Linked DNA regions of Lytechinus pictus. The protein of the gene in region 1 binds, or shares a complex with, the protein of each later gene. Links are inferred from orthologs where the notes say so. Each region holds a gene or a part of one and is shown in the gene's direction. Other genes may lie near its edges. The genes, in order: eukaryotic translation initiation factor 3 subunit G-like, eukaryotic translation initiation factor 3 subunit I-like, eukaryotic translation initiation factor 3 subunit M-like and eukaryotic translation initiation factor 3 subunit C-like.

Region 1 (7,227 bases):
TTCCATAGTGTGGGGCCAGTATGTCGTATTGAATATTTAGATTTATCATTTGAAAAGGTCCATCTGTGGAATTTGTTAAATGCTCTAGTAAAGTAATTGTGAATGTTTGCATTAATTGAGAACATATTCATTAAATAAGGTGAAAGACTTTTTGTGTGGTATCGTTGCATAATTGAAGCAATTTGAATTTTGGTAATATCTGGAAGTTTAGCTGTACGTAATGATTTAAATAGCAAAGAAGTCGGGGCATTATAATCTGTCTTCTTACATATACGTATTGCCTTTTTTTGTAGAATAATTAATTTTTGTATATGGCTAGAATAAGTGTTACCCCAAATTGAATTGCAATATGAAAGACGGGACAGAATATAAGCATTGTAAAGAGTAAATAATATATAACTAGGTACATTACATTTTAGACGATTTAAGATTCCAATAAAACGTGCTATTTTGACAGAGATAGAACTTATATGATCATTCCAACATAAATTATTGCTTAAAATCACTCCTAAAAACTTCACAGAATTATAAAATTGCAATTGAGTTGTATCCACATGGAGAAATATGTCAGTTTGATTATATTGCACACCCCTCTTTTTATTAAATAAAACACAATGAGTTTTGTTTGTATTTAAGGAAAGTCTATTGAACTTAAACCAGGCAGAAATTTGGGCAAGATTTATATTTACAATTTCAACTAAAGTAGTGATATTATCATGGGAGGCAAGAAGTGACGTATCATCGGCATACAATATAAAATGTGGTTCATGGCAAGAGTTAACAATGTCATTAATATATATTAAAAATAATAAAGGCCCAAGAATAGAACCTTGGGGGCACACCTGTTTTTATTTCCATGAAAGACGAATGGGTATTATCATAGACAGTAAATTGTTTCCTATGCAATAAATATGACTTGAACCAATTAAAAGACACCCCTCTTATACAATAATATTGCAACTTATTAAGTAAAATATCATGAGAAAGAGAATCAAAAGCCTTGGAAAGATCCATAAAAATTCCTATAACTTCTTTACCGGCATTGAGCTCACTAATTATTCTATCATGAATTTCAATAACTGCCATTTCAGTGGAGTAATTTTGACGGAAGCCGTATTGACTATCATATAATACATTATGACGTGATAAAAAATTGTACAGTCTGTTAAAAACTAATTTCTCCAAGATTTTTGAGAAACACGGCAAAATTGATATTGGACGGTAGTTGACAAATAAATTAGGATTCTCCTTCTTAAAAACGGGAACAACTTTTGATATTTTCAGTTTTGAAGGCACAATTCCAGTTGCAAGAGAGGAATTAAAGATATGTAAAAGTGGGTCTATAATAAAGGGTAAAACAGTCTTCACAACAGATGGATCAATGTCATCAAATCCGCTACTCTTATTAGGTTTAAGCGATTTACCGATATCTAATATTTCTTTTTTTGTAATCGGTTTAAAAAACATAGTATGAGAGAGTGGGTCATTCATATAAATATCAAACGAATTAGAATTATCTTCCTTAGGATCATTGTTTATACTCGATCCGATATTGACAAAATATTCGTTAAAATTTTCAGCAATTTCACTACTATCACTAATGTTACAATCATTATGTAAAAAAGACATATGTTTATCAAAATTATTTTTCTGTTTTCCCAAAATGTTATTGATAAGTTTCCATGTTTTATTAGAATTTGTTTTCATGGATTCAAACTTGTCAAAATAGTATTTTCTTTTCAACCGGCGGAGATTCAGGGTAACAATATTACGAATCTTTTTTATATTTATCGTGATTAACTTTGGTAGGAGAGTTAAGATACAATTTATAACATTTGTTTTTCTTTCTTATAAGCTTCATCACATCGAGGGTAATCCATGGCTTTCTATTCCGATGATGTTTACCAATATACTTTGTGCTGATTGGCAGATGTTTGTTATACAATGTAATAAAGTTATTATAAAATGAGTCATACGCCCTCTCCGGGTGGCTTTGTAGGTATACATCTGACCAGTCCACGGTTGAAAGATCAGCACAAAAATGATTAATGCTGTCAGGGGATATCTTCCTGTAGGTGTGTACTTTTCGTTGTTCATATGTTACAATATCTGACAAATGTGACAAATGGAAGATCGGAAAATGGTCGGAAATATCTGTTAAAAAGGCACCCGACAGAGGGGAACTACTAAAAACATTTGTGAATATATTGTCAATAATAGTAGATGATCTACTATTAGCTCGTGTAGGTCTGTCTATAATGGGATAAAACCCCGATGAAATCACTTGGTTAAAAAAATGAAGAATAAGAGGGCTTCCAGATTTTTTAAACAAATCGATGTTAAAGTCGCCCATAAAGAAGACACGTTTATTATTTATGTAACTATGATTCATCAGTCTATCAAAATATAAAGTAAATGCAGAAATGCTCGATTTCGGTTGACGATAAATGATCCCAATCACAATATTCTTCTCTGATTTGCACTCTATTTCAATACTTAAAACATCGACACCTTCACAGTGCTCAGAAAAATCACACAGTTTGTAATTCATATCCTCTCGAATAAATAGACCAACTCCACCACCGCGGCCATTTAATCGGTCAACATGTAGGAACTTATAACCTTCAATTGAAAAGGGGACATCAGAGTTTGAGTTGATCCACGTTTCCGTTATCCCAATCACTGAAAATCTAAATCTGATATTTGAGAGAAAACTGTGTATATAATCAAAATTTTGAAATAAACTCCTTGCATTGAAATCCCGGGGGGGCCACTTACATTGACGAGTGGATACCATGCGCGACCAAAAAAACACGTAAAAAGGATGTCTTTTTCAAGATAGGGCACGTTACGTACGTAACGTGATAAGGGTGTCAAAAACACAAAAATATTGAAAAAAGGGTATCTATTTCGCTAGGAAAAATATACGTGTTTAGGGTCAAATGTGCGGGGATGATAAAACAAAGTCAAAATGTTTTATAAAGGATGTCCTTTTTGCCCCAACACTACGTGTTTAGAGTCCGATTTGCGCGAGGTGTGGAAGGTGGGGCCGTACTAAACCAAAATAATGGTGTCTAAAGGTAAAACCGACGACCGACGGACGCGTGACATAACAATAAAATACCTCTGTACTTGTTAAGGGGTTCATTTCAGGGAATACTTGCTAAGAGTATCGTTTTGTTTCCAATTCTTGTTAAGGGGTGCATTTTCAGAATATGGAAAATACATCGCTGTACTTGTTTAGGGGCTCAGTTCTGGGAATACTTGCCAATAGTATTTGTTTCCAATACTTGTTAAGGGTAGGGTTTCACACGCCAATACTTGTTAAGGGGTGCATTTTCAGAATATGGAAAATACGTGTTTAGGGTGCTTTTCAAGACCCCGTGGTCGCGCATGGTATCCACTCGTCAATGGAAGTGGCCCCCCCGGGATTGAAATGGATCATGCTAAAATTTTTTGTTACAGAGTTTTTGATAATTTCATTAAATTCAGAGGTCAAGTAATACTTCGCATTGGTGGAGTCGGTATATTCGTCCTGACCATTTTCCACAGATTGTCCGTCTATATTATCTGTATCGACGGACTCTCTTGTTAAACAGAATAAGGATTCAAATTCCGAGTCATCAATTTCTGCAAATGGAAGAAGGTAAGTATCGTTTAAATTTGCAGATGAGTTATTGATGGTTTCATCTTTATTCAAACTTGATTCTATTATTACATCATTCGACATCGTTAACAAGACGCACAGGACAACATAAAATCTACACAAAACACAAACACTTGAGAAATAATTGACAAAAGGTAATATACTATTTCAGTCACTAACTTTTATTTATCTTTAAGAGTCAGATAATAAATCGATTGATATAAACCAATAAACCAACAAACTAGACTGGAATGCACGGGGGAATGCAACAGCATTGATTTTTCTCTCAGGTTACAGATTCTCCAAGTCTTGTTTACAGTGGATGGTTTTACGAATTGACTTTCCATTCGTGGTAGTTAACAGGACTACGATTCGTCCATGTTATTGTGACTTGCCAAATAAAATCAATCAATCAATTTCTCTTTTCCCCGTTCCCCCCCTTATTTTCCAGGTGAAACCCCCCTGCCTGTTACGCCACTGCCCTCCGCCCCCCCCCCTTTGATCCCGAATCGGGTTTTGATATAGCGCCATCTACTGTGCAGCTTTGGTGCAGCTGTCCCATTCATTTTGTACGCGCGCCGAATACGTGTACTTACGCAAGTCACGCATGTGTGTCATAGCAGCTGTTCACTTTTACGAAAGTTGGCCTAGAAACAGTCTTCAAATATGCCCTCGGCCGATACGTAAGCATTAACCAGAATATTATTTAAATGTTTATTTTTTTATTTTTATTTTAATAAGTATTATAATCTCAGAAAATTGAAAAATTTATCATGATAAAGATTCTTTTTATCACCATCTTTGTCGACTTTCCCCTCCTCAAGAGGCATGCGCCACGGCCTAGCGTGTGAGATATCTTTTACACGCAATTGAATAGGTGATATCACGTTTTCTTGATAAACGTATTGGAATATCACCCGAGTTAATTCACCAGCTACGCCTATACAGCACAGAAAATCTGATATGCAAGACAGTGTTCCTTGCATTGCGATGAGTGTGACTGAGTGTGTGTTCAATTTAGTGATTAGGCAATTAATGGAACATAAGCAGACAATTCAGAATATCATTTTAGATCTAGGCCTATTTTAAATCATAAATGGTTATTTTTTTAATCTTTTGATTAGATTTAAAAATTGAGGAGTGCTCTGTCAGTAGAGAGGCGCACGGCCAATATTGGAGACTGTCTCCAATGTGGGAGATTATCTCCAATATCAGAGACTTTTGTAAAGAATTTGGGTATCAAATTTCAGAGACAGTCTCCAGTTTTGGAGACCAATTTCCTTTGTTTACATTTGCTGCAAAAGGATTACCTTGGCGGCAAATAAAAATGTGATAAGCAGATTCCTCATGAAAAATTACCCCTTTTCACCGTCTACTTTAAAAATTCACCGTCTACTTTTGTTTCGATAAGGATTTTTGTTTTCAATCACACTCAAAACAAATGGGCTTCTGACCTCAGTGAGACAAAATTTTGGGTAGAAAAAATCATGCTTTTGTTGGTGTTGTTTCTTTTGTCCTTTTGCAAAGCAAGTCTCCATTGCGGGAGATTGTCTCCCCTATTGGAGAGAGTCTCCCATATTGGCCGTGCGCCTCTACTGTCTGTCTGAGTAGGCACTTCACTCGCGTGAGCGATCGTGCGGGCAGATCAGCTGTAGCCTTGAACTTGAAGACTCCATGATGATATTTTTTAAATATTTTGACATATAATAAAAGCTTCTCCATCATGGAGCCTTGAACTGCCTGCCATATATGTATAAGAGACTCACTAAAACAAAGATGGATTTCCCTAGGAAATCCATCTTTTAAGATAAAAATCACGTAAATGTTTTTTATTTTATTTATTTTTACACCTTCATACGCCTAATGCGTATGAAGGTTTCAAAAATTGGTTAATACGAAGGTTAAAAATTGAAGGTTTCTTACCAGCCCGAACTCGTGTAGATCTCTCGATTCGTTCTTCAACAAAGCAAATACAATAAGTCTGACCCTTGAATCGCTTCGTTATGACGGTTTTAATCACGTATTAAATTTTAGTATTTGTTAAATAATAATTTTATCTATGAATTGTTCTTCAATAAGGCATTTTGTAACATCGCTAATCGAAGGTACATCATAACAAAGCGGTTCAAGGACCTATTGTAAATGAAAATAAACTTTTCTTCTTGCTTTACAGATCTAAACCTATTAGCTGGGCAGACCAAGTAGAGGAAGGAGATTTGAGTAAGTTCGTCATTTTGACTTACGTCTCCTCTTTTTATAAAGAGGAAACCAACCTAAAAAAAAGGGACTTGCAAAGATAATGATCATTGCAAAATATTCTTCAAAGGATGTTTATTGCACATAATTTAAAGTTCAGTTTCCTTTCTAGTGCTTACTAAAGCTTGAACTTGTATGGTTAATGATGAATGAATCCCAAAACTTAAAGCTGACCTTGATGAGGGTATGTGACCTTTTATGTCTTAATGTCAATGTTTGTTATGTTATTTTATTTGTAAAAACTAGGTTGCTATCATTTGAGCTTGGATGGACAATAGACTAGGCCAGTTATTAGACCAGGCCAGAATTCGGAACCACTACTGAAAGTTGTATTGAATTCATTGTACAGTAAGCTACAATCATCAATAAAGGAACTTATTCAACTGAGCATTATTTTCCACATTTTTGGTTAAAAAATCAGGCAAGATACAGGAGTGTATCACAGTCTATGCTAAATCTTTTTTTTTTAATATCTTTCTTTCCTATTATCTTACTAGGGAGTATTCCACCTCCTGAAGAATTGTTTGAAGGAGATTTCAAGAAGTTGATCGAGTACAAACGAGATGAAGATGGCAAATTGATAAAGGTACCCACAATTATTTACAAGATTTATGATTATTATCTACATTTATCAAAGAATCTACAAATTATAAAATCACTTGTCTTATGTAGGCCTACATGTATTCATGTTTGGTTGTGCATACAAGTCATTTTGTTATCATATATTCATTTATTTTAAACATATATTCATTTATTTTAAAATGGACAAATAGTCCTACAAAGTCGGACTGTTAACATCTACAGTAAGTACATCCTACTTCACTGCCACTGTAAGAGTACCAAACAGCACAGTGCTGCAATTTACTAACAAAAGTTCAGTGATTTGTTCCTTGAAATATTTATGTTCAAAGTAGGCAAATTCTCTAAACCACAAATTTTAATTTGTGCTTGTATTTCATTAATACATGACAATCAGTGGTCAGTAACAAGAAACCTAGTGCTTGATCTAGGTCTGATTTTTACCCTTGAGTACCTTGATCATTATGTGCAATCAGTCAAAGGAATCAATTGTATAATCAATCACTAATCTTTGTGTTACATGCCCCTAAAAGAAATAATTACATTGTGTGATTTACATAACAGGCTATATGTATTTAGTTTTTTTGAAATCATGAAGTTTTTTTTTTCTCTCTCAGATCACACGCACATTTAAGATTGAGAAGAGGAAAGCCTCCAAGTCAGTAGCTCAACGAAAGGTATGAAGATGAAATTAGCAAAAAAAAATGGTTCTGATGTCAAGTTATACCAGATACACATCTCTTTTT
Region 2 (7,396 bases), on another chromosome or scaffold:
CTATGTTCAGTGAAAAGGGTATTTCATGTCACCTTTCCCTATCTTTTATATCTTACCAATAGAATGCAATGCGATCACCAAGACCATTCTCCACATGTCGGTCGAGAACATTGTAGCAGACATTAGTAGTTGCACCCTGGAACCACTTGATGTACACCGGCCCGTTGTTCACGTTAAAATTATACTCTAAGAGCTTGCCTTCGGTCGGCGGAGTTTTGAAGTAAAATTGCTCAGCTATCTTACTCCAAAACACCTCAGGTTCATTTATGGATTGGTCATAGAGTTTCTTGTACTCTTCGATCGACTTCACGTGTGCATTTTTCTGCAGTTCTTGGTTTGGATAGTAAAGCCTTGTCGCTTGGTCTCCGCTAGCGTCCGCCATGATTGCATCGAAGTGTTTGAACTGGCTGAATGTTGTTCGAGCGCGGCGGCTGGCGCGAGCTCGACGCGACGCGAGCGGCGTGGCTTGGCAGAGCGGGCCTGGCTCGAGGAGCGTGGGCCGGGTTGGCCAAAGAGTACAGTATAAAAATCGTACGATCGGTAGCTAGGCCAGGGGGACAAAGATGAAAGATGGGCGTGGTCGCTCTTCAAGAGTTTATTAACCACAATGGTTAATAAACTCTTGGACCGTTGTATAGGTCCATGATAAACTCTTCAACTGAATGATATTATTGATAATATAAACTGTTTGGAAAACAAGATCATCTCAAATGGAATCAGAGCCCTTCTGGGCATTGTACGTGGCTCTTCTTTTCTCCTTTTTCATTGCTAAAGGTGGAGTGAGTGGATAAATGCATAAGTTTCTGAAATTCAGATGGATCAGGCAGGTCAAAGATTGTTGTTTTTCAAAATGATGCAGTAACCGTCACAGGTTATGTTCGACCGATAAAAATAGTCAATATCAACCAAAATTCTGGTAAATTCTAACTTATGGTTGATTTTGACCATTTTTGTCGGTTGGACACATAATCATCAACACAAATTATTTTGACATTTTATTAAAGGGATGGTCCGGGCTGAAAATATTTATATCTAAATAAATAGAGTAAAATTCACAGAGCAAAATGCTGAAAACTTCATCAAAATCGGATATCAAATAAAAAAAAGTGAAGTTTATCAACATTTTGTGAAAACAGTTATATGCACACTATCATGAATATTCATTAGGTGGGCTGATGATGGCATCCCCACATTCATTTTTATAATGTTATTACATGAAATCATAAATGTTTCATTTTTTTATACATGTGTAAATGATGTGTCTCCATTATGATGAAATAAGTTGCGGCGATGAATAACTAATGCACTTATAATCCGTTGTCAATCCAATTGTTTTATTTCTTGGTAGAATTTCTTTTAAAATAAACCTTATTTCATATAATAAAATAAAAAGAACAAGTGGTCAAATTTTCAGCATTTTGCTTTGTGAATTTTACTCTTTTTATTGGGATAAAAATACCTCCAGCCTGGACCATCCCTTTAAGAGTCAAGAATCCCTATGACAGTCTGATTTTCAAGTAGTGAAAAGGCCGAAAATGCACACTCATGAAATTTTGTTCTGATTCACCTTGCAATTTACGCTTTATTCTCATTTCGAACATAGACCGTGCAAAAATAAAATTGTGCAAAATGAACTGTCACAAACAAAAATATTATTTGATTGCTTTCACTGATTGTTAACAGATGTGCGACAGTAGCTTCATGATGATGATTATGATAATAATAATGAAATAAGTTTGGAGCTGACCCATGATGATCCAGCCAACCTAAAGAGGAGATCAGGGGGGCGTTTCATGAAAGGACTTGTCGGACGTTTTATCCGACAAGTCCCATTTTATCCGACAGTCAGACCTGCCGACAGTTACCATAGTAACAGTACCTCTCAGCCAATCAGAATCAAGGAAAGATGTCAGATCTGACAACTTGTCGGATGAAAATATTGATGAAACGCTCCCCAGGGCCCTGGGAGCGATTTTTTAAATTGGGGTGCTGATGTAAATTTGAAGAGCAAAAAAAAAGGTTTTCACTACAAAATGGAAGTGATATTATTGGTCCCAAAAAATAAAAAAGAATAAACAAGAGTTATCAATACAAAATGGAAGTCATTATTGGTCCCTACAAATTTGAAAAGGAGGGGGGGGGTTCACTACCGGTATACCAAATAAAGGCCCCTCGATCGGGTTATATTTATCCAATTTTTTTCTCACTCCTTCCAGAATTTCAGGAGGTGCTGTTTCACTGTAAAATAATACATGCAGCACCCCAAACAGGCGCAGCGGACGCATTTTTGTTGGGGGGGGGGGGGGGGGCAAAGAAAAAAAAGGGCACTTATATATCAAAATGGGTATTTGGTTGCAAACGAATATTTTTAACATGAGATTATCATCTGCGTTAAGAAGTTTTGTGTTTTGTATTAAGTTGAGCAAAGCCTTTTTGAAGTGATTTCTGATAGATGAAATATATTTAGGCTTTGTTTTTCAGCGAGCGAGCGGTTTGGAAAATTTTTCCATTCTAAAAGCTGCTGTGAAACTCGCCTTTTGGTCAATTATCGCGCAAATTATTAGCTGTTAAAAGTGCATCCTTGCGAGATGTTGCGAGCGCGAATCGCCATGCTCAAACTTTTGGACAAATATCCTGAAAATTAAACATACCGAGCAGTTTTTGTTATCATGAAAAAAATGTGTATCTAACTAGAAAATTCGCGCGAGCTGAAATTTTTATACTGACCAGAAAAAGACACTGGTAAGGATTGCATTATAGTGACTGATGAAGATGATTTTATATCTCATCAATCAAATGACGCGAGCGCGAAGCGCTAGCTGTAAATTTGTGATATTCCAACCTGAAAACTGGATAAGCACTTTTTGTAACCAAGAACATAGGCCTAATGAGTACTTTACCAAATAATGATTGATGCGAGAATGAAGTGCGAGCTGAAAATTTGTGATATTCCAACCTAAAAACTGGACATTTTATTACAGCACTTTTGCAACTATAACAGGATGAGTACCTTACTAAACAATAATCGATGCGAGCGTGAAGCGCGAGCCAAACAAATTGTAATTTTCTAAGGCCTAAAATGTATTGTTTAACCTTAAAAAAAAAAATTATTCTGTAAAAGGGCACATATATCATTAAAAAAGGGTATACTTTCCATTTAAAAAAAGGGCATTTTTCCTACTGGGAATTTTTGGGGAAAGTGCCTCCCTGCCCCAAGGAAAATCTTGGGGGTGCAGGCAGCACCCCAGGGGAGCGTTTCATCAACATTTTTGTCCGACATGCATGTTGTCAGATCTGACATCTTTCCTTGATTTTGATTGGCTGATAAGCAATGTTACTATGGTAACTGTCGGATAAAATAGGACTTGTCGGATAAAACGTCTGACAAGTCCTTTCATGAAACGCTCCCCCGTTCCCAGGGCCATGGAGGAGGCAGAATATGGAGATGTGAGGCTAATTAAGCCTGCGTTCAGAAGCATTATTTCGTTACATCCCCCCCCCCCATTTTTACACATCTTCAAGAATACCTGGGGTGCTGCATCCCCTTTAACCTTTCTTTCCTAGAGCTCCCATTTCTCTTCTTTCACTTCCCTTTCTTTTCCCTCAGCTCCCTTCCTTTTTTTCTGATCTCTTTTTCCCGTCCTGGTTAATGTCCCCACTATACCTCTCCCCCTTTTTTGAAGATTTTCAGGGGGGAGGGTGGCATATGTGCCGTGTACCCTCGATCATAGATCTGCCACGTACCGTTACCAGCAAGGATTGCTTATTAGCTGACAGTGCAACGCATAATATGTAGATCGCGGGAACGATTTTCTAAGAGGGGGTATATACTGTTTTTTTTTGTTTAACAAAAATTTGACAAGCCCACCCCACACAAAAAAATAGTCTCCACTTCCAAAATATTGCAGGTCGGTGATTAAAAAAAAATCACAAACCCCCCAAAAACAAACAATTAAAAATCCTCCCCCCAAAATAAGCAAAGAAACAAAATAATAGCAAAGGCCTTCATTCCAGATTAAAAAAATAATGGCAAGCAGGCAAAAAAAAGAAGAAGATAATAATAAGCTGAAATTATTCAGTCCCGAATGAAGGCGTTTTTTTTGTCAAACCATTATGTAGGAATATGCTACCCGGGTATGCGACTATCGCACATGTATTAATTTGGTAAACAAAGCCGAATGATTTTAATGATAGAATACCAACCAAAAAATTGGGGAGGGGTGCTTCAGTCCTCCTCTCCCCACCTCCCCTCCGGTCCCCTCCGCACACGCTTCCCATGCATGCCCATAGATATACTAATAACTAATAGCGTAATTAGTATACATCTCTTTGTGCATGCCATACAATGTCGGAAACCCCTTTTTTATCATTGAAAATTGACAACGTCTGATCGTAGACTAATTTAGATCCCGCGCATGTGTTGCAAAATTCTACCGGCTGGTATCATAATTTCGTGAAAGATTGTACTGATTCTCTAATTCGTCACTGATATAATTTTTTAAAATGGTAAAGTATGAATGTTCATATTACGTAGTATTCTATGTATGATTTTTTGAGAAAAATATTAAACTTAACTATGAATTAAAGGACTGTTAAAAAGTAGTAAAAAAGCTCATGACACAGAAATAGATACGTGGGAACGCACGTCAATTCAATGCATTGTGACTGACGTGACTGTCATTTTGTGAATGTGTGATTTCTAGTTCGGTCATCGGTGTTGCCTGTGTTTGTGTGTTGGTGTTGAGATGAGAGTGTAAAAAGGCCACTGACCGAGCTGCAACACCAATGAAGCTGGGTTCAAAAGAACGATACCGATTGCATTATCGATAGCTCATGTGACGATTGACGTCGTGCCTCTGCGCTGCACTGCTAAATCTTTATCATGCGTGAAGTTTATCATTACGAAAGTTAAATCGGAGCTAGACTCTAGAGAAATGGATTAAATTCTCATCGTACAGAATACCGGCAATGGCAATGCCAAGACCAGAGTGGGGGGGGGGGGGGGGTAGTCTTGAGGACTCCATGATGATGTCTTTTTTAAATACTTTGACATATTATAGGCCTACTTCTTCATCATTGGATTGGAGTCTTGAACCCCAGTTCATATATGTATAAGAGACATGTAAACAAAGATGGATTTCCTAGGGAAATCCATCTTTTAATATAAAAATCACGTAAATTGTTGTGATTTTATTAATCTCTACACCTTCCTACGCCTAATGCGTAGGAAGGTTTAAAAAAATGGTCAATTAAAATGTTAGAAAAAGGTTTCTTACCAGACCGATCTCGTGTAGATCCCTCGATCCACATGTACACAACGCAAATACAATAGGGTCGACCCTTGAACCGCTTATGTATAGTAGTAGTAGTATTTATTTCCGTATTAAAAGCACAATTATATACAATAAAATACGGTGGATAGCCCACATTCAGCGTGACTGGCACAGTAGCGCTGGTCTTCCGTGGGGTCCATAACATTTAACATTAACGTATAATTTAGACACAAATAAACCACATTAGAATAACAGATGTACAGAAGAAAAATGAAAATGTAAATATCAACAGTAAACATTAATAAGAAAAAAAAAAAAAAAAAAAAAAAAAAAATTAAGGGGCGCAAACCTAACAGGGAATGGGGGGGGGGGTACCGGAGTCCATGTGCTACAGATCAACAATCTTAGATTTGAAAATATTAATACTAGGGGATGATTTGATGTGAAGAGGAAGGGAATTATAAGCCATGGCGCTTTTATACTTGAAGGATCTTTTGAGGTAATTTGTTCTTGGTTTTGGTAATTTAAATTTGGTTCCGAAACGGGAGGGATACGTATGTGATACTAACTCAAATTCATTTCTTAAATATTTTGGAGATAGATTTTTCATGATCTTATACATGAGAATAAGGGAATGATCGTTTCTTCTTTTGTCCAACAATTGCCAATTTAGTGTATCATGCATTTCCAAAATAGATATATGAGATTCGGGTTTAATTTGGAGTATAATACGACCTGCTCTGTTTTGCAGTTTTTGAAGGCGGTCTGTGTATTTCCTAAAGGATGCATCGTAAACAACATCACCATAATCAAAGTAGGGGAGGATCAATGAACTATATATTAATTTCAGGATCGATTCACTTAAGGATCGCCGCAATCTTCCCAGAAAGCCGACTAATTGACCTATTTTTTGCAACATGTTGTCTATATGCAAGTTAAAATTCAAATAATCATCAACTATGATGCCTAGGTATTTGACATGATGAACTTGTTCTAATGGGGTATTATTTAAGGAAACATGAAGGACATTTTGTTTAGAAATCATATTCTTGCTTCCGATGAGCATACAGACCGTTTTTTGACAGTTAACACTTAACTTATTCTGGCACATCCATTGGTACATATTTTCTAAATCTGAGTTTAGGGCCTCGTTGATTCTATCTATGGAGGGGTGTGAAAAATACAAAACGGTGTCATCCGCATACAATTGGATATGACATGTATTAATACATTTCACTAGATCATTGACATATAATATAAAGAGCAGTGGCCCCAGGAGTGATCCCTGGGGCACATGGCAGTTAATAACTGATTCATAAGAGAGTTCCGAATTGATAAGAGTCCTACAAACCCGGTTTAACATGTAACTTCGAAACCATAAGGATGGTGTGCCAGAAATACCTAAGTTATTCATTTTTTTCAAAAGAATATCACAATTCACGGTGTCGAATGCTTTTTTTAAATCGACGAAGACGGCCCCAATGTAATGTTTAAGATCGATTGAGTGAAACCAGTCATTGGTTACCTTTAGGAGAGTGGTAATGGTTGAGTGCCTTGGCCGAAAACCGGATTGGGCAGGTGTCAGAATATCATTATTTCGCAAAAAATCTAAAACTTGCCGTTGGACAACCCTTTCCAGTATTTTAGATACGCAGGGCAAAATTGAGATGGGCCTATAATTCGAAGGAGAATTTTTATCGCCACCTTTGTGAATTGGGATAATCTTAGCTTGTTTCCATTGTTGCGGAAATATACCGCTTGACAAAGATAAATTAATCAACTTAGCAATACTCATTGATATCTCCATAGAGCATGCCTTCAAGACAAAGACAGATATCTTATCAACACCGACAGACTTAGTGTTTTTAAGATTTCTTATGATTTTCAAAACATCATGTTCGTTCACCTGAGTGAATGCAAAAGTCTCATTTGTATAATTACCATCTTCTGTATGGAGGTTCATATCGGGTATTTCACTGGCTAATTGTCTCCCTACATTTGCAAAGTAAGTGTTGAATAGGTTAGCAGTTTCAGTATTACAATCCGAATTAGACGAAACTGTGAGATTTTCACGTTTTTTATTCGGAATAATGGACTTTAAGGTTTTCCAAGTCTGTTTTGGG
Region 3 (7,165 bases), on another chromosome or scaffold:
ATATATATATATATATATATACTGTTTCAGAAACGGATTTTGAATTCTCTTTTATGTCACATCATGGGCACTGACGAAGAGTGTGACTTTACCTTTCATTTTTGAGAGCTATGCTCCTTTTAAAATCTACGATTTTATTTCTACGGCATTTACTAAACCTTTTGTGATTATTTTATTCCTTATGCCGAAACAGACTATTTCTATATATACATATATATACATAGTCATCCTGTAATTAAAATTTCAGCTCGCCCTGCGTTCTCGCATTTTGATTCGTGAGATACTTTTATGATTTCTTACAAATAGTCCTTGCTGTATTTTTTTGTCTTTGTCAGCACTCATAGTTTATCTAAATAATAATGTTTATCTTTCTGTGTCTCGATTACTTCGTCAGATGGCGCATAATAAATGCTGTGTTTATAAGTGGCGTAACTACGGGGGAGGCATGGGCGGAAATCCGGGGGACAGGGGGACGCGTCCTTTCCCCTACCCAAAATAGTAGTGGGACATAATATCAAATGTCCCCTACTATTTTGGGTCTTTTATGATGAAAAGAAATACGTCATTCAAAATCGAAATTAAACACTTCTTTTGAACGAGATGACCTTACTTTTTGGGTGATATATATATTTCTTTTTATGACCTTACATTTGGGGTGATAACATTTTTTTTGCTTGTCAAATTTTCCAGCCCCTGGTCCCCCTACCTTTGGGGAGAGATTTCCGCCCTTGGGGGTGGCACGTGCCCCCAATCGGCTGCTGGCCAAAAAACAAAACAAAACAGAGGGAAAAGAGGGAGAAAGAAAGAGAAACGAATGGGGAAAGAAAAAAAAAAGAATTATTATATGTTATATTATATTATGTTATATTATATTATATTATTTTACCCAAGATATTTTTTTTCATAACCTTATGAAACATAATTTACTTTGGCCGAAGCTGTATAAAATGAGGAGCGTTTCATCAAATTGTTGCGGTAATAGATCTGATTTGATTTTGATTGACTGATCGACATGCACATGCATTTTATATGGTAACTGAATTACCTTTGTCGGATATCCAACAAGTCATGACACGCTTCCCCGATTGGTTGCAGTGATGGCACCAACTGAGGAGGCAAAAGAACATTTTTGGTGGAACAGGCGGACAAGATTTTACTTTTTTTTTTTTTTTGCATATATTTTGATATTCCAATTCAACTCTGCGGCTTGCCGCATTCTATATCCGAGTATCGGAGAAAGGAAATTTATATATGCACCTTAACTGCATTATTGGGGGAATAATTTTTTTTCACTGGAAAATTTCTTCTAGTAGAAGGGGTATGACCGGCGACCTTACAGTTTTATTTGATTCTATTGATTTTTTAATTGGAGTATCGAGCCCGATATGTCGTGCATGCCTTAGGCACCAGGGGCGGATCAAGGATTTTTCAAACGGAGGGCACATATTTTCCCAAGATAAATTGGACAAGCAAAAAATAAAAAAAGGTTGTCATTTTTTTTATAAGTCTCTCTTTCTTTTTCTCATGATTTTTCATGTTTATTTTCTTTTTTATCCTTTATTCTTATTTACCCGTATGCCAATTTTTCGTACTTGATTTCCCACCTGTTAGGCAAGTTTCAAGTTATTTATTACAAATCCAAACATAATTAGGATACTATAATCAAAGAAAATTAATAATTGTTACAAATCATCAAACAAAAAGTTACATTGATAAATGAAAATTTTCAACAATAAACGGGCAATAAACAGACCCAGGACCAAAATCCAGTTAAAACCAATTAGGGCAAAACCATTTGAAACCAGTTGGCCAACTGGTTTCAATAGGGAAATTGGAACAACTGGTTCCAATTGAAAACCAGTTGCCAATTGGTTCCAGTTAAAACCAATTGGTTCCAATTGAAAACCAGTTGCCAATTGGTTCCAGTTAAAACCAATTGGGCAACTGGAACCAGTTGGCAATTGGTGTCAATTGGTTCCAGTTGTTCCAATTTCCCTATTAAAACCAATTGAATCCAATTGGAGGCAACTGGTTTCAATAGGTTCCAGTTGAAACCAGTTGGAGGCAACTGGTTTCAACTGGTTTCAACTGGAACCAGTTGAAACCAATTGGTTTCCAACTGGATCCAATTGGAACTTCCAGTTGGAATGAACTTAATTAGTTACAAATTAATTAGCATTTGCACTAACTATTGCTCATGCCAACATAGAAGCAGTGTTATATGTCTATTAATACCAACGTAAAAGGCATTGATAAAATAGAGACTTTCATATGTATATATTTATATGGAAGATCTTCAAATATATGTATTTTTTATTTGATGTAATTTGGTAACAGTTAGTGGTGTACTAATTATCCTTTGATCTGTTTTAATTATAATCTATAACATTTATGAACATGGTTTCCACTGCTAAGTATTCTAAATACTTATCTTTAAAAAGTGTGGTACTTGAAATTGAAAATAATCAAATATATACATTGTTAATGATGATGAATCTCATAAAACATTAATCTGTGCACACTGGCAGATAATATGCAAATTAACTGGTTTCAATTGGATCCAGTTGGGTAACTGGAAAATTTCCAATTGGAAACCAATTGGAAATCATTTCCAGTTACCCAACTGGTTCCAGTTTTATTTCCAATTACCCGGACTGGTTCCAATTAGAATTCATTTCCAGTTACCCATCTTTCCAGTTATAAGTCATCTCCAGTTACCCAATTCAACCAATTGGTACCAGTTAGGATTTCCAGTTACACAACTGCATGGTTCAAGTTAGAATTTCCAGTTTCCCAACTGGTTCCAGTTAGAAATCATTTCCAGTTGGAAGTCATTTCCAGTTACCCGACTGGTTCCAGTTAGGATTTCCAGTTGCCCAACTGGTTCCAGTTGGGATTTCCAGTTGCCCAACTGGTTGCAGTTGGGATTTCCAGTTACTCAACTGGTTCCAGTTAGAAATCATTTCCAATTGGAAGTCATTTCCAGTTACCCAACTGGTTCCAGTTAGGATTTCCAGTTGCCCAACTGGTTTCAATTGGTTTCAACTGGAAATTGTTAAATTCCAGTTAAAACCAATTGAAACCAGTTAAAACCAATTGAAACCAGTAGGAAATCCAACTGGTTTCAATTGGATTTTGGTCCTGCAGGGAGTCACAAAACAAACAAAACAAAAAAGGGGGAAAAAACATAACAAAACAAAACACACAAAAAAAAGAAAATATGTGCTATATGCTGTCAGAAACTGTTTGACTCTAGCTCGATTATCTGTCAATTTACAGGGCATATTATTATTCATAACATATAATCTCCAGTTACAATGTCGTTCTAATTAACTGCAATTAATTCATACTTGTAATTGCTTCACGGTGTTAGATTTAATTTTGGGCCATGCTACTTGGATCGCAAATCATGTCATTTCATTTTCCAGTATGCATATACCGTTTCTTTTGGTGCTAACGAAACGTTAAGATTTTCAACATCATTAATTGTATTCAAAGGACAAGTCCACCCCAACAAAAATTAAGTTGATTCGAATAAAAAGAGAAAATCCCACAAGCATAACACTGAAAATTTCATCAAAATCGGTTGTAAAATAAGAAAGTTGTGACAGTTTTGCTTCACATATCCTGGTCGGTATCATAATGATGATTTTGATGTGATCCACTCGATCTCTGTTTCTTTTGTAATTCTTTATATGAAATACGAAATATTCTATAATTTTCTCCTCATTTGTCAAGTGAAACAACGATTCCTCCCTGAAGTGTGGAATTACCGGGTGGAATTTTATAACTGATAATGATATTGGGTATTGATAGTTTCTGATAAGACGGCATTATATGCACTGTTATTTAAACCAATATATTTGAATATTTTCTGGCATCAAATTTGTCATATATATATTTTTCAATTTCTATCGGTCATGAAGGATCTTTTCTATAAACTTCGGAATTTAAGAAGAATGGGTTTGATGCATGCATCAAATATTTTGAAGTTTGTGTTAGAAGTTTATATTAGAAGCATACATGTAGTAAGCGAAGAAAGGGAGGGGGGAGTATGTCGTACACAAGATCAGAGGAAGGGGGGGGGGGGCGTTGACATATGAAAAGACTGGTACCTTTTCTTGATACTATAATGTACGTATATCCTTATGCATGACTGACCATAGACATACCTGAGAACTCATTTTATTTCTACCCGCGTGCTGCGTGTGTTAATTATTCTTGAGGCATACGGGAGAAAAGAAGTCACAAAATCATGAGTTTACCGGCTTTTATCAATATTCCTGAGGCAGAACAAGTAAGTCATTAATGTAAACTTACATTTTTCCTTTGGACAAAGAGAAGAAATAATTTAACGATTGTTTTTGAGATACCCGAATTTCATGTTTTCTTTATGTATTCCCACCTATTGAAATTTGTGTTTGTAAAAGATATTATTACGAGTTTTACGACTAGCTATGCGCGCTGCGCCTGTGTTAATAAGGAAAGAAAGAATGAAAGGAAGAACGTTACGCGACGCACGCGCGTAACGTTGGGGAAGTACAATAGGAAACAAGATGGCGGCGTAAACATCGGGCAAGTCTCTTCCGTCTTTTCTCAATATTTTTCTAATTTTTTTGATGAATTCTTGTTTAAAAATAAAACCGAGAGCGTAGAAATGTCGGAAATGAAGTTTTATTTAGTTTTATCCCATGTACCGGTACATGATTTAGGGCTAGATCTTTTAGAAGGAAAGTAGAAATCTCGGGGGCTAAAGTTTCAGGTTTTTCAACGGTACGTGGAGATGAATGGGAAGGAATACCTGGCTTCATTGAGAGTAAGCATACGTAAGTAAATAATTTTTACTCTCAAGAAGCCGCCTGGCTAAGTTTACAGGGACTGTCTCAGTTTTCAGACAAAGATTTATCCACACAAGAAATCTAGGAAAGTTCATTCACCTGTCAAGTGCCGACATCAATCGAGTGCGCTAGTCAATGTAAAGCATATCAAGTTTCATAATAAGATTATTGGAAGACGGCAAGTTGTGAAAAAAATTGATGGTGAACTGGGGGGGAATTCAGGTCACTGAATCTATTATTAGCACTCTCAGCAATCCCAGCAATTGCCGTCCATGTCCCGCAGGGGTAAGTGAAGAAAAACTGTCCCCATAAACAAGGACAATCTCAATTTATCAAGACATGATTTGTCTTGGTTTATGAGGATATCCTTGTTTTCTGGGACAATCCCATTTTTTGGACCAGCGCCTCTACTGTTTAGCAGTACCTGTATTTTGTAGCACTACTACATGTAGTGTGTAAAAAGGGTGTAACTTTTTGTTAATTCTGTATGTCCAATGCATATTTAGGCAAGCATCATACTGCTGGCTAACGTTTATAGAGTTTAGTCTTGATAAATCTGCTGTTTCAGAGGAGTTTTTCAAAAGATTCTCTAGAATTCTGATTTTTTTTGTCCTATACAGACGGCAATGGCGTTGGGCTCATAGTGGTGGAGCTCCACCGACAGCGTCTACATGTATGGAGAAAAGGGTGCGATTTGGCACTCTCCTTGATTACTTCTAAAAGGAAGAAATTATAAATTTTTTTAATGCAATCAGCTCCCCCAAAAATATACTGGAAAAAAGCAAATTTCGATGAAAAACAGATCAGGATCAGCCAGGTTCTTCTTTGATCGCTCAATCGACGTCAGCGCAGCTACAGCTGAGCGTACGAACGTGCCAGCCAATCCGCTGGTGCGTCGATACGCTCAGCTGTAGCTGATGGCGATTGAGCGATCGAAGGAGAACCTGGCTGATCCTGATCTGTTTTTCATCAAAATTTGCTATTTTCCAGCATATTTTTGGGAAAGGTTGTAAGCTAATTGCATTCAAAATTAAATTTATCTTTATCATTTCTTCCTTTTTCCCGTCAAAAAGCAAAATTTAGGAGTAAATGAGGAGGGTGCAAAATCGCACCCTTTTCCCCATAGACGCTGTAGTAAAGGCTTTGGTGGAGCTCCACGACTACAAGCCCATTGGCCGTCATTGGTCTATTGATGGAGGGGATGCCGCAGAGCCAGACAAAGTCTCAGCGGAGCATATCTCTGACAAAAATAGACCTATTTTTATCGGTCTAACTGCTGGCCTGAGTCACCCAATTATTTTTAAGGCTAAGGGCAAGGCTAAACACCATCAAGTGGCATGATCATGACAAAGTCAAACTCTTTTGATCGCTCTTTTTTCATTATTCATGTTTCATTGTTTGTGACTCAAAGTCACAAACAATGGGGTTCATTGTTTGTGACTTTGACTCAACGAACAATGAAACATGAATGATGAAAAAGAGCAATAAAAATACATTTAAAAAAAAATGAAAATTTAATTTTGTGACAGGTTGGCGAGAAATCGTAATTCATATTTGTGCCATTCATATTTGAACTTTTCTCTTTCCTTCTCTTTTTTAGATAAGTTGTCATGTACATGTATTTATTTGCTCCCGTTAAACCTAGGCTCTAACTCGTTCTAGATCTAGCAAGTACTTATTCATCTAGATCGTTTTATTGTCTCACCTGCATAGCAGAGTGAGACTATAGGCGCCGCTTTTCCGATGGCGGCGGCGGCGTCAACACCAAATCTTAACCTGAGGTTAAGTTTTTGAAATGACAGAATAACTTAGAAAGTATATGGACCTAGTTCATGAAACTTATACATAAGGTTAATCAAGTATCACTGAACATCCTGCATGAGTTTCACGTCACATGACCAAGGTCAAAGGTCATTTAGGGTCAATGAACTTTGGCCGAATTGGGGGTATCTGTTGAATTACCATCATAACTTTGAAAGTTTATGGATCTGATTCATGAAACTTGGACATAATAGTAATCAAGTATTACTGAACATCCTGTGCAAGTTTCAGGTCACATGATCAAGGTCAAAGGTCATTTAGGGTCAATGAACTTTGGCCAAATTGGGGTATTTGTTGAATTACAGCCATAAATTTGAAAGTGTGTTGGTCTAGTTCATAAAACGTGGAAATAAGAGTAACCAAGTATCACTGAACATCTTGTGCGAGTTATAGTAGTTTTCAAAATCAGCACTGCTGCTATATTGAATCGCGTGATGCAGGTGAGACGGCCAGAGGCATTCCACTTGTTTGTTTATATACTCTTCTTGGTTGATCTACCTCCTTCA
Region 4 (6,927 bases), on another chromosome or scaffold:
AATTTGTCCCTTTTTTAGAATGGAATACCGTCAAGGTTCATCTTGCTCTTAGAAAGAGGAATAGAAAGATAGTCATTATTTTCATATGATGACAAATATCCTTACAATGCCTGGTCCTAGGTCAAAATAATGATAAAAAATTATTAGCTCTCGCTTCGCGCTCGTGTCATTCATCCGATTCATATCCAATTCAGAATTTTCCTACACAGTGCTTGAAATAGTGCATGAATTCACCCTTTTCCAGATCGAAATATCAAATATTTTCAGCTCGCGCTTCGCGCTCGCCTTATTGATTTTCATAAACAAAATAATGTAGGCCTATTTAGAATCTAAATCTAAACACGCGCGCATGTTTATTGAGATTTCGACTTGCCCTTTATTTAAAACGTGCATAAAAATCCAGTTTGAGATCAGAATATCTAAAAATTTCTGCTCGCACTTCGCGCTCAAATTATTAATGTAGGAAGATGTAACATTGCGTTGGTTTCAATATAAAGTTGTGCAACGTATTATATATTATTTACAAAGTATTTGCTTTTCAAATCGAAATTAGTTTCAGTAAACAAAATGTATACCTTCTGTCGAAAAGAAATCGAAACAGTTTTGCATCTGTACTCGGAGTGCGGGCATGTTAATCACATTTGGAAAAAGTTAGAGGACTGGATTAGGACCAAAACCAGTGAGATTCTTCATTTTTCAGTTAAAAATAAAATATTCGGATTTATTGGAAAAAAACAACTGTGCACTTATTATTTGATTGTGGAAATATGTATCGTCTTCATTGGAAACTGCAAATAGTCCTTAACATGCCCCTTTTGTTCAGGATCACAAACATTGCTCAAAATGTTCAATATTGAGGACAAAATAAATGAAACTTCAAAAAATCTTAGCTCGCGCTTCGCGCTCGCATTATTTGATTGTTGAAATATGTATTGTATTCATGGGTAACTGCAAACAGTCCCAGAGCGGATATTAAAAATTTCTCGCGCTTCGCGCTCGCAGTAATTATTTAATACATACGCATCTTTTTCAGGATCAGAAACATATTGCTCAAAATGTTTAATTTTCATGATAAAATACATATAATTTCCAAAAATCTTAGCCAGCGCTTCGCACTCGCACTATTTAATTATATATATATGTTATGTTTTAATGAATAAAGCTATAAGAAGTATATATATATATATATATATATATATATATATGTATGTGGGTGTGTGCGTGTGTAAGAACAATGGAAAACTCAATTGTGACCCCCTCCCCCACCTTTGAGGAGAGATGTTCAGCACCCCAGTCAAAAAATCGTTCCCAGGGACCTGTTATAACCCCACCTATAATCATATTAGGCCTAATATATAGGCCCGAGCGTGCATGGATTTGGAGGGACGTCATAAAGGCGGCCAAGCTCAAAGTTGATTTTTGTTTGTTTCTTTGAAGGGGTAGCCCCAAGCCCCCAACAGTCACTTCTTAGCTATATTTGTGCAAGCGCGAATTTTTGTAAATTTCATGTATTTTATCCTGATAATTCAACATTTTTATGGGCATGTTTGTCATCCTGAACAAGATGCGTATAAAATAATGTAACTAGATAATTACTTCGAGGGCCCATGCGCGAGCAGAAATTTTTAATCTACGTTCCGGCCTGCATGATCGAAAAGGGACCTGCTATACTGTTTTCAGATAGCCATGAAGACAATTTTTTTTCGACAATCAAATAATTTCACAAAGCAGCTATCCTGGTCGGTATCCGGGGTTGGTATGCAAATGAGCAGAGTGATGATGTCACCCACTCACTATTTCTTTTATATTTTTTTTTCGGAAACATGAAAAAAAAATCTAATTTTCTCCCCATTGTCAGTGAAACAAAACTTTTATTCCTCCCTGAACACGTGGAATTGCCAGTATTTTAACAGTTTATGGTTAAGTCAAGTCAGGATCCATATTGTCGAATCTGTAAAAATTGAAATATTGTATTTAAACCATAAAAAACAAAAGAAATCGTGAGTGAGGGACATCATTAATTGACTCTCATTTGCAAGTCACGGAGTTGTGCATAACGTGCATGTTTTGTGACTACGAAACTTATAGAAGACTTCCTTTAAGCGCGAGATAAAACTTGTCGATACTTTCCTTTCTAAAAAAAAAGGGACAGTACAGTAAAAATTCATCATTTTTTAATGAAAATGTTAATATTTTATCTAGGCTAATAAGCCTATATAATGAGAGCGCGAAATGTGCTGAGGCATGAAAACTGGACATTATGTTTTGTGATTATGAATAGGATGCATGGGTTATCGCGAGATTGATAAAATGGGCTCGATGTCCGAGCTGAAACTTGTATATTGACTTCAAAACTTGATATTTTAAGCCTTCTGAGCAAGATAATCTCATTGAACATGCAATGCGAACCCGAAGCGTGAGCGAAAATTTTATGTAATGCAAAAAAAAAAGATTTGAAAAATCATTCCCCTCGATCACAATATGTTTATTAACTCATCTTCTTCATCCTCTCTTTTCCCTCTTCTTTTATTTTCGTCTCTCTCCCCTTCTTTTTTCCCTTTCTTTCTTTCCTCTGTTTTCTTTCTTTTTTTCTCCGCCAATACAGTGCGTATAAAAAGGGACAGTTTTGAACAGTCTATAAATAATTTGTTTCAAATTATGATATCTATATTTTGATGTTAATAATGCTCTGAAATCTTATCTTTGAAATTCAATAAAAAAATAAAAAAAATAATGTTTATGCTCGGGCAAACACGGGACGTTTTTGTCGGGGGTTCAAAAAGAGGCTTGCGCCAGAATGGCAGAATATGAGTAATATGATGATCAGACTTCTTGCTAATCAGCAGACTTCCTCTAACCTTTTCATTATCTGTGCCATAATTTTAAAATTATGCTGTCAAATTTTATTTACAAATTTATTTATTTACTTGAATTATTATTTTTTTTTTCATTTAAACTTCTTTTACCTTTGAATTTTCCTTCATAAGTAAGAAAAGAAGACTTTTTGTCAACCCAAGCAAGAAAATTTGCATTATTAATTGGGAAAACTTGTATAATTATTCAAATCCTTTTATTATGTGAAACAAATTATGTATATGGTACCTTTAAAGACATGAATCAATTTTTCAAGGGTTTATTGATTCCCGTTTGACCAAGTTTAATTATATGCTTGACAGGACAAACAGGAAGGGATTCATGTCTTTCAATAGCAATGGTGTGTTGAGTCAATTTTGAAGGAGCTAGATATGGCAGATCGGGTAAAAATTAAAAAGTTGTAAGCGAGCGAAGCGAGCACGCAAATATTCCCACTTTTTTATTACAATATCAAATTTTGTGATATAGATTTTGACATAATATTCAGAAAATGATATCATATTTTACTTTCTGTCTTTCCTTTTATTTCCTTTCCACTTTTTTCTTGGTCATGATTTTTTTTTAATTGAGGGGGGGGGGGGGAGCATCCCCGAGCCCCCGCCCATAAAAAAGTGGCACTGTTCAAAAGGCACCATAACCTTTGTAGCACACAATGAAAGGATTTGAAAAAAATACACGCTCTCCCATACTTCGGTTGAAAAAAAAATTGTTTTTGCTTGAAGATCGAAGGAATATTCAACTCTAAAAGAGAACATATTAAAAAGAAACAACAACAAAACAATTCATAATTTGAAAGTTATGGCAAAGATAATGAAAAGATTAAAATGAAGTCTGCTGATTAGCAAGAAGTCCGATCGTCATATTTATCATTTTATGCAATTTTGGCGCAAGCCTCCTTTTTAACCCCAGACAAAAACATTTCGTGTTTGCTCAAGCATGAACGAAACTAAAAAAAATTAATGGCATTTAAAAGATAAAACTTCAGAGCACCTATGAGTGCTGAGTTTATTTTGGCCGAGTCACAACTTTTCGCCCATGCATTTCACATTGTGCACGTGTAGCCCACTTCCTAGAATGCGATGGCTAGCGTATAGCTATGCTAGCTAGATGCGAGCGCGAGCGCGAGCGACCGCGAGCGTTCGCGCGCGCCTTCATATATGGCGGATTATGATTCCGAGATTGCTCACGCAGGTTAGGTAAGAAAGTTAACATATTGCACATTGTTGAACCAAATTCGCATTAAGCACTGCATTTGTTGAATGAATGTGAAAAATGTTGACTAGTTATCTTTGAATATCATGTGTGATAGTTTTAAAACTTATGTGTCGTTCATTATAAATCCTGCAAAGAGGAGCTATGTCGCAGACCTTTTCGTTCTGTCGATCATGCGCCCATTCATTGCGAAGATACCTGGCACAACAGCGTAAATTGCGATATTGTTCATGTTCAAACTGTTCACATCTATCACGAGAGTGTGATAGTTCCCGTTCACTTGTGCACGTAAGAAATCGCACGTGCCGAAAACGGGCGATTTGTGCATGATGGACCTTAGGGTCGCCATTTAGGCGCTAATGCAGTTTCGCATCAGCCGACTTCGAGAGAATTTCCCCACCAGTAACTTCGAAAATAGCAAGTCTCTCAATCAATTCATCAGTTATTTTTAATTTTACAAACTGGCTCAAAGGCAAGTCAAACCTCGGCTGGTCTCCAAAAGATGGCTGTCAAATGTATTGCCGTAGACTACGCCGGTAGACATGCGTGACCCAATAAACGCAAATAAAGGGGTGTTTTTCAGTTTTGGACGCGGGCCGCGCGTGCACTCGTTAAGGGTATTAAAAACACATATTTTCAGAAAAAGGGGTAGTTTTGAAAGACTGGTCAATGGTTAATCGCAGGGTCAAACATTAATAATTTAACCTTTTAGGGTATTTTTTTTTCCAAAGCTCTTTTTTTTAATTACTAAAATACTAGCCAAACATGTCTAGGGTATGTTTTTTTTTCCCGGGGTCATATTCTGGCAACAACTTGTTTGGTTTGGGGGCCAAAATTTGTAAAGAAATCCCGCGAAAAACTTGTTTACACAGTGGCAAATTGTCCATAGACTGTGTACAATGGATAGACCGTCTCGGCTCAGCGAGTCGGAGACTGCTGATTGGCCAATCGCGCAGATCACGTCATGACTACGTGGTCACCAAAATAATCCCTTCGGACTGCGTGCGAAAGTATCAATAGTGCTAACGATATCCGGTCACATTGTCTACGCGGGAAATGGTCTTGGTTCGTGATTAGATCGCTCCAGTATCGATCAAAAATTATCGAGACTCGGCAATTTCATGCATATTCACGCGACGCTCCGAAACCCGGAGATCATTTGACTTTGTACACATTGAGATAGACTCTACAAACTTCAACGAACACGATGCCATATCGACGCTAATTCGTAAGATTTTGACGGAAAATCAAGAATTAATCGAAATTCGCTTACCTGTGCGGTATCAGTGATAAAATAGTTCCTCCAAGAATACCTTTCATAATTCATATAAAATATAGGAAAGTGAAATTCTAGGTCGATTTTGGTATGATAGAGAATTGCACACTTGTTTTGGTGGAATACTGTGTGGGGCAATGGAAGGCTTGCAGTGCGCATGCTTACTATATTTTCATTCATAAATTGGCTCTCGGCAGTGGCTGGATGACGTCATGTAATAAGCAACATGTACACGCCCGCTAGCGTTAAACGCACCGCTATCCGTTCTATACAATTTGCCACTGTGTTTTAGGGGGATATTTTGCACACAGAGAAAAACTCGTTTAGGGGGTGTTTGCAAATAATTTGGCCACGCGTGTGTACAGCAATACATTTGACTGGCCCCCCAGGGTCGGGTCTTTGACCTGTGCGCGCCATTCCAGAGACTTTATACAGGGCGCGACAAACCCGCTTGCCCGGGGCAAGTGGAAATGATGTGCTTGCAAGCATTTCCCTAAGTCAATTGCCCGATCGGGCAAGTGGTTTTGGAAATAAAATAAAATATCAGCAGACCCTATATAGGACAGCTGGAGATCGTGATTTCGCCTCTGAAAAGTTAAGCATAAACAGCACTCCCAGAACCACGTTTACAATCGGCGTTTTGAATCGACGTTTGAAAACGCTGATTCTGTCCTCGCAATGGAAGCATAAACACACCGTAAGTGACTATTGCTGGTCTGTAGACACCGAGAGGCAAATAATTTTTTGTATAACTTTATGCCCAATTCCAAGGGATTTCCCAGGTATCATATTTTAAGGTCAACATGGTCAATATGCGATTACGCCCACTGCTTTTCCGAATATTGCATATCGGGAACAGCTGTATTTCGACTTTAATTGGGAGGTCTCCGTTCAAATTCTCAGACATCATTTTCCTTGGATTTTCCGTAATTTTGATATGGACTGCAGTTAGCGACCAATATGTGAACATGCGGCAAACAATGGGTGAGCTGCTGGCAGACAGATATTTTGGTCGCTAACTTCAGTCCATATCAAAACTACCATGAAGTCTGAAGCCAAGCATTGCCAAAGTGAAGCGATGAGAATTTGACAGTGATCTTATCTGCTTAGGTCAACCAATAGAAGCATCTCTTCTGTAAAAACATTTAGTGCATTATTGACATGATGCATAATTTCCCATGCGCCTCTGACGCTTATGCTTGTGCACTACAGTGCTTAAAATACATGTGGCTGCTCTCCCAGGCATATTTTCTTTGAAATGATCCATCATCTCAAATGAGATCTATTGCCGAAAAGTCATCAAATCCAACTCTGTAATATCTCTTGGATCCGAATGCCTTCTTTTGTCAAAGAAGTTTTTGCTGGATACAGCTAGAATTTATTGTTGACTGAGAAAAATCGCATGCTTCATTAAGTTACAATTGAATAGCCACTACCTCTTGTAAATTTTATTTTCCAAGGAAGTTAACATTAAGAAAAGGTTTGAGAATTTTCAGACTATCTTTCATCTCGATACGTTATCATGTCCACAAAGAAATTTATGCGCTGTTTTTAGATAAAAGCAT

What was found.
Region 2: eukaryotic translation initiation factor 3 subunit G-like (region 1) and eukaryotic translation initiation factor 3 subunit I-like share a complex: the UniProt entries of both Drosophila melanogaster proteins name them as parts of the eukaryotic translation initiation factor 3 (eIF-3) complex. The link is inferred for Lytechinus pictus from reciprocal best matches to the Drosophila melanogaster genes eIF3g2 and eIF3i.
Region 3: eukaryotic translation initiation factor 3 subunit G-like (region 1) and eukaryotic translation initiation factor 3 subunit M-like share a complex: the UniProt entries of both Drosophila melanogaster proteins name them as parts of the eukaryotic translation initiation factor 3 (eIF-3) complex. The link is inferred for Lytechinus pictus from reciprocal best matches to the Drosophila melanogaster genes eIF3g2 and eIF3m.
Region 4: eukaryotic translation initiation factor 3 subunit G-like (region 1) and eukaryotic translation initiation factor 3 subunit C-like share a complex: the UniProt entries of both Drosophila melanogaster proteins name them as parts of the eukaryotic translation initiation factor 3 (eIF-3) complex. The link is inferred for Lytechinus pictus from reciprocal best matches to the Drosophila melanogaster genes eIF3g2 and eIF3c.

The regions. Positions count from the first base shown.
Region 1 is NC_087259.1:30,430,703-30,437,929, reverse strand, and holds the start of eukaryotic translation initiation factor 3 subunit G-like, read left to right. Parts: upstream 1-4,209; 5' UTR 4,210-4,312; coding exon 4,313-4,329; intron 4,330-5,819; coding exon 5,820-5,866; intron 5,867-6,399; coding exon 6,400-6,488; intron 6,489-7,098; coding exon 7,099-7,158; intron 7,159-7,227. UniProt on the Drosophila melanogaster protein: RNA-binding component of the eukaryotic translation initiation factor 3 (eIF-3) complex, which is involved in protein synthesis of a specialized repertoire of mRNAs and, together with other initiation factors, stimulates binding of mRNA and methionyl-tRNAi to the 40S ribosome.
Region 2 is NC_087261.1:4,539,471-4,546,866, forward strand, and holds the start of eukaryotic translation initiation factor 3 subunit I-like, read left to right. Parts: upstream 1-4,388; 5' UTR 4,389-4,503; coding exon 4,504-4,506; intron 4,507-7,396. UniProt on the Drosophila melanogaster protein: Component of the eukaryotic translation initiation factor 3 (eIF-3) complex, which is involved in protein synthesis of a specialized repertoire of mRNAs and, together with other initiation factors, stimulates binding of mRNA and methionyl-tRNAi to the 40S ribosome.
Region 3 is NC_087253.1:1,908,163-1,915,327, forward strand, and holds the start of eukaryotic translation initiation factor 3 subunit M-like, read left to right. Parts: upstream 1-4,155; 5' UTR 4,156-4,255; coding exon 4,256-4,297; intron 4,298-7,165. UniProt on the Drosophila melanogaster protein: Component of the eukaryotic translation initiation factor 3 (eIF-3) complex, which is involved in protein synthesis of a specialized repertoire of mRNAs and, together with other initiation factors, stimulates binding of mRNA and methionyl-tRNAi to the 40S ribosome.
Region 4 is NC_087246.1:16,951,526-16,958,452, forward strand, and holds the start of eukaryotic translation initiation factor 3 subunit C-like, read left to right. Parts: upstream 1-3,911; 5' UTR 3,912-4,070; intron 4,071-6,927. UniProt on the Drosophila melanogaster protein: Component of the eukaryotic translation initiation factor 3 (eIF-3) complex, which is involved in protein synthesis of a specialized repertoire of mRNAs and, together with other initiation factors, stimulates binding of mRNA and methionyl-tRNAi to the 40S ribosome.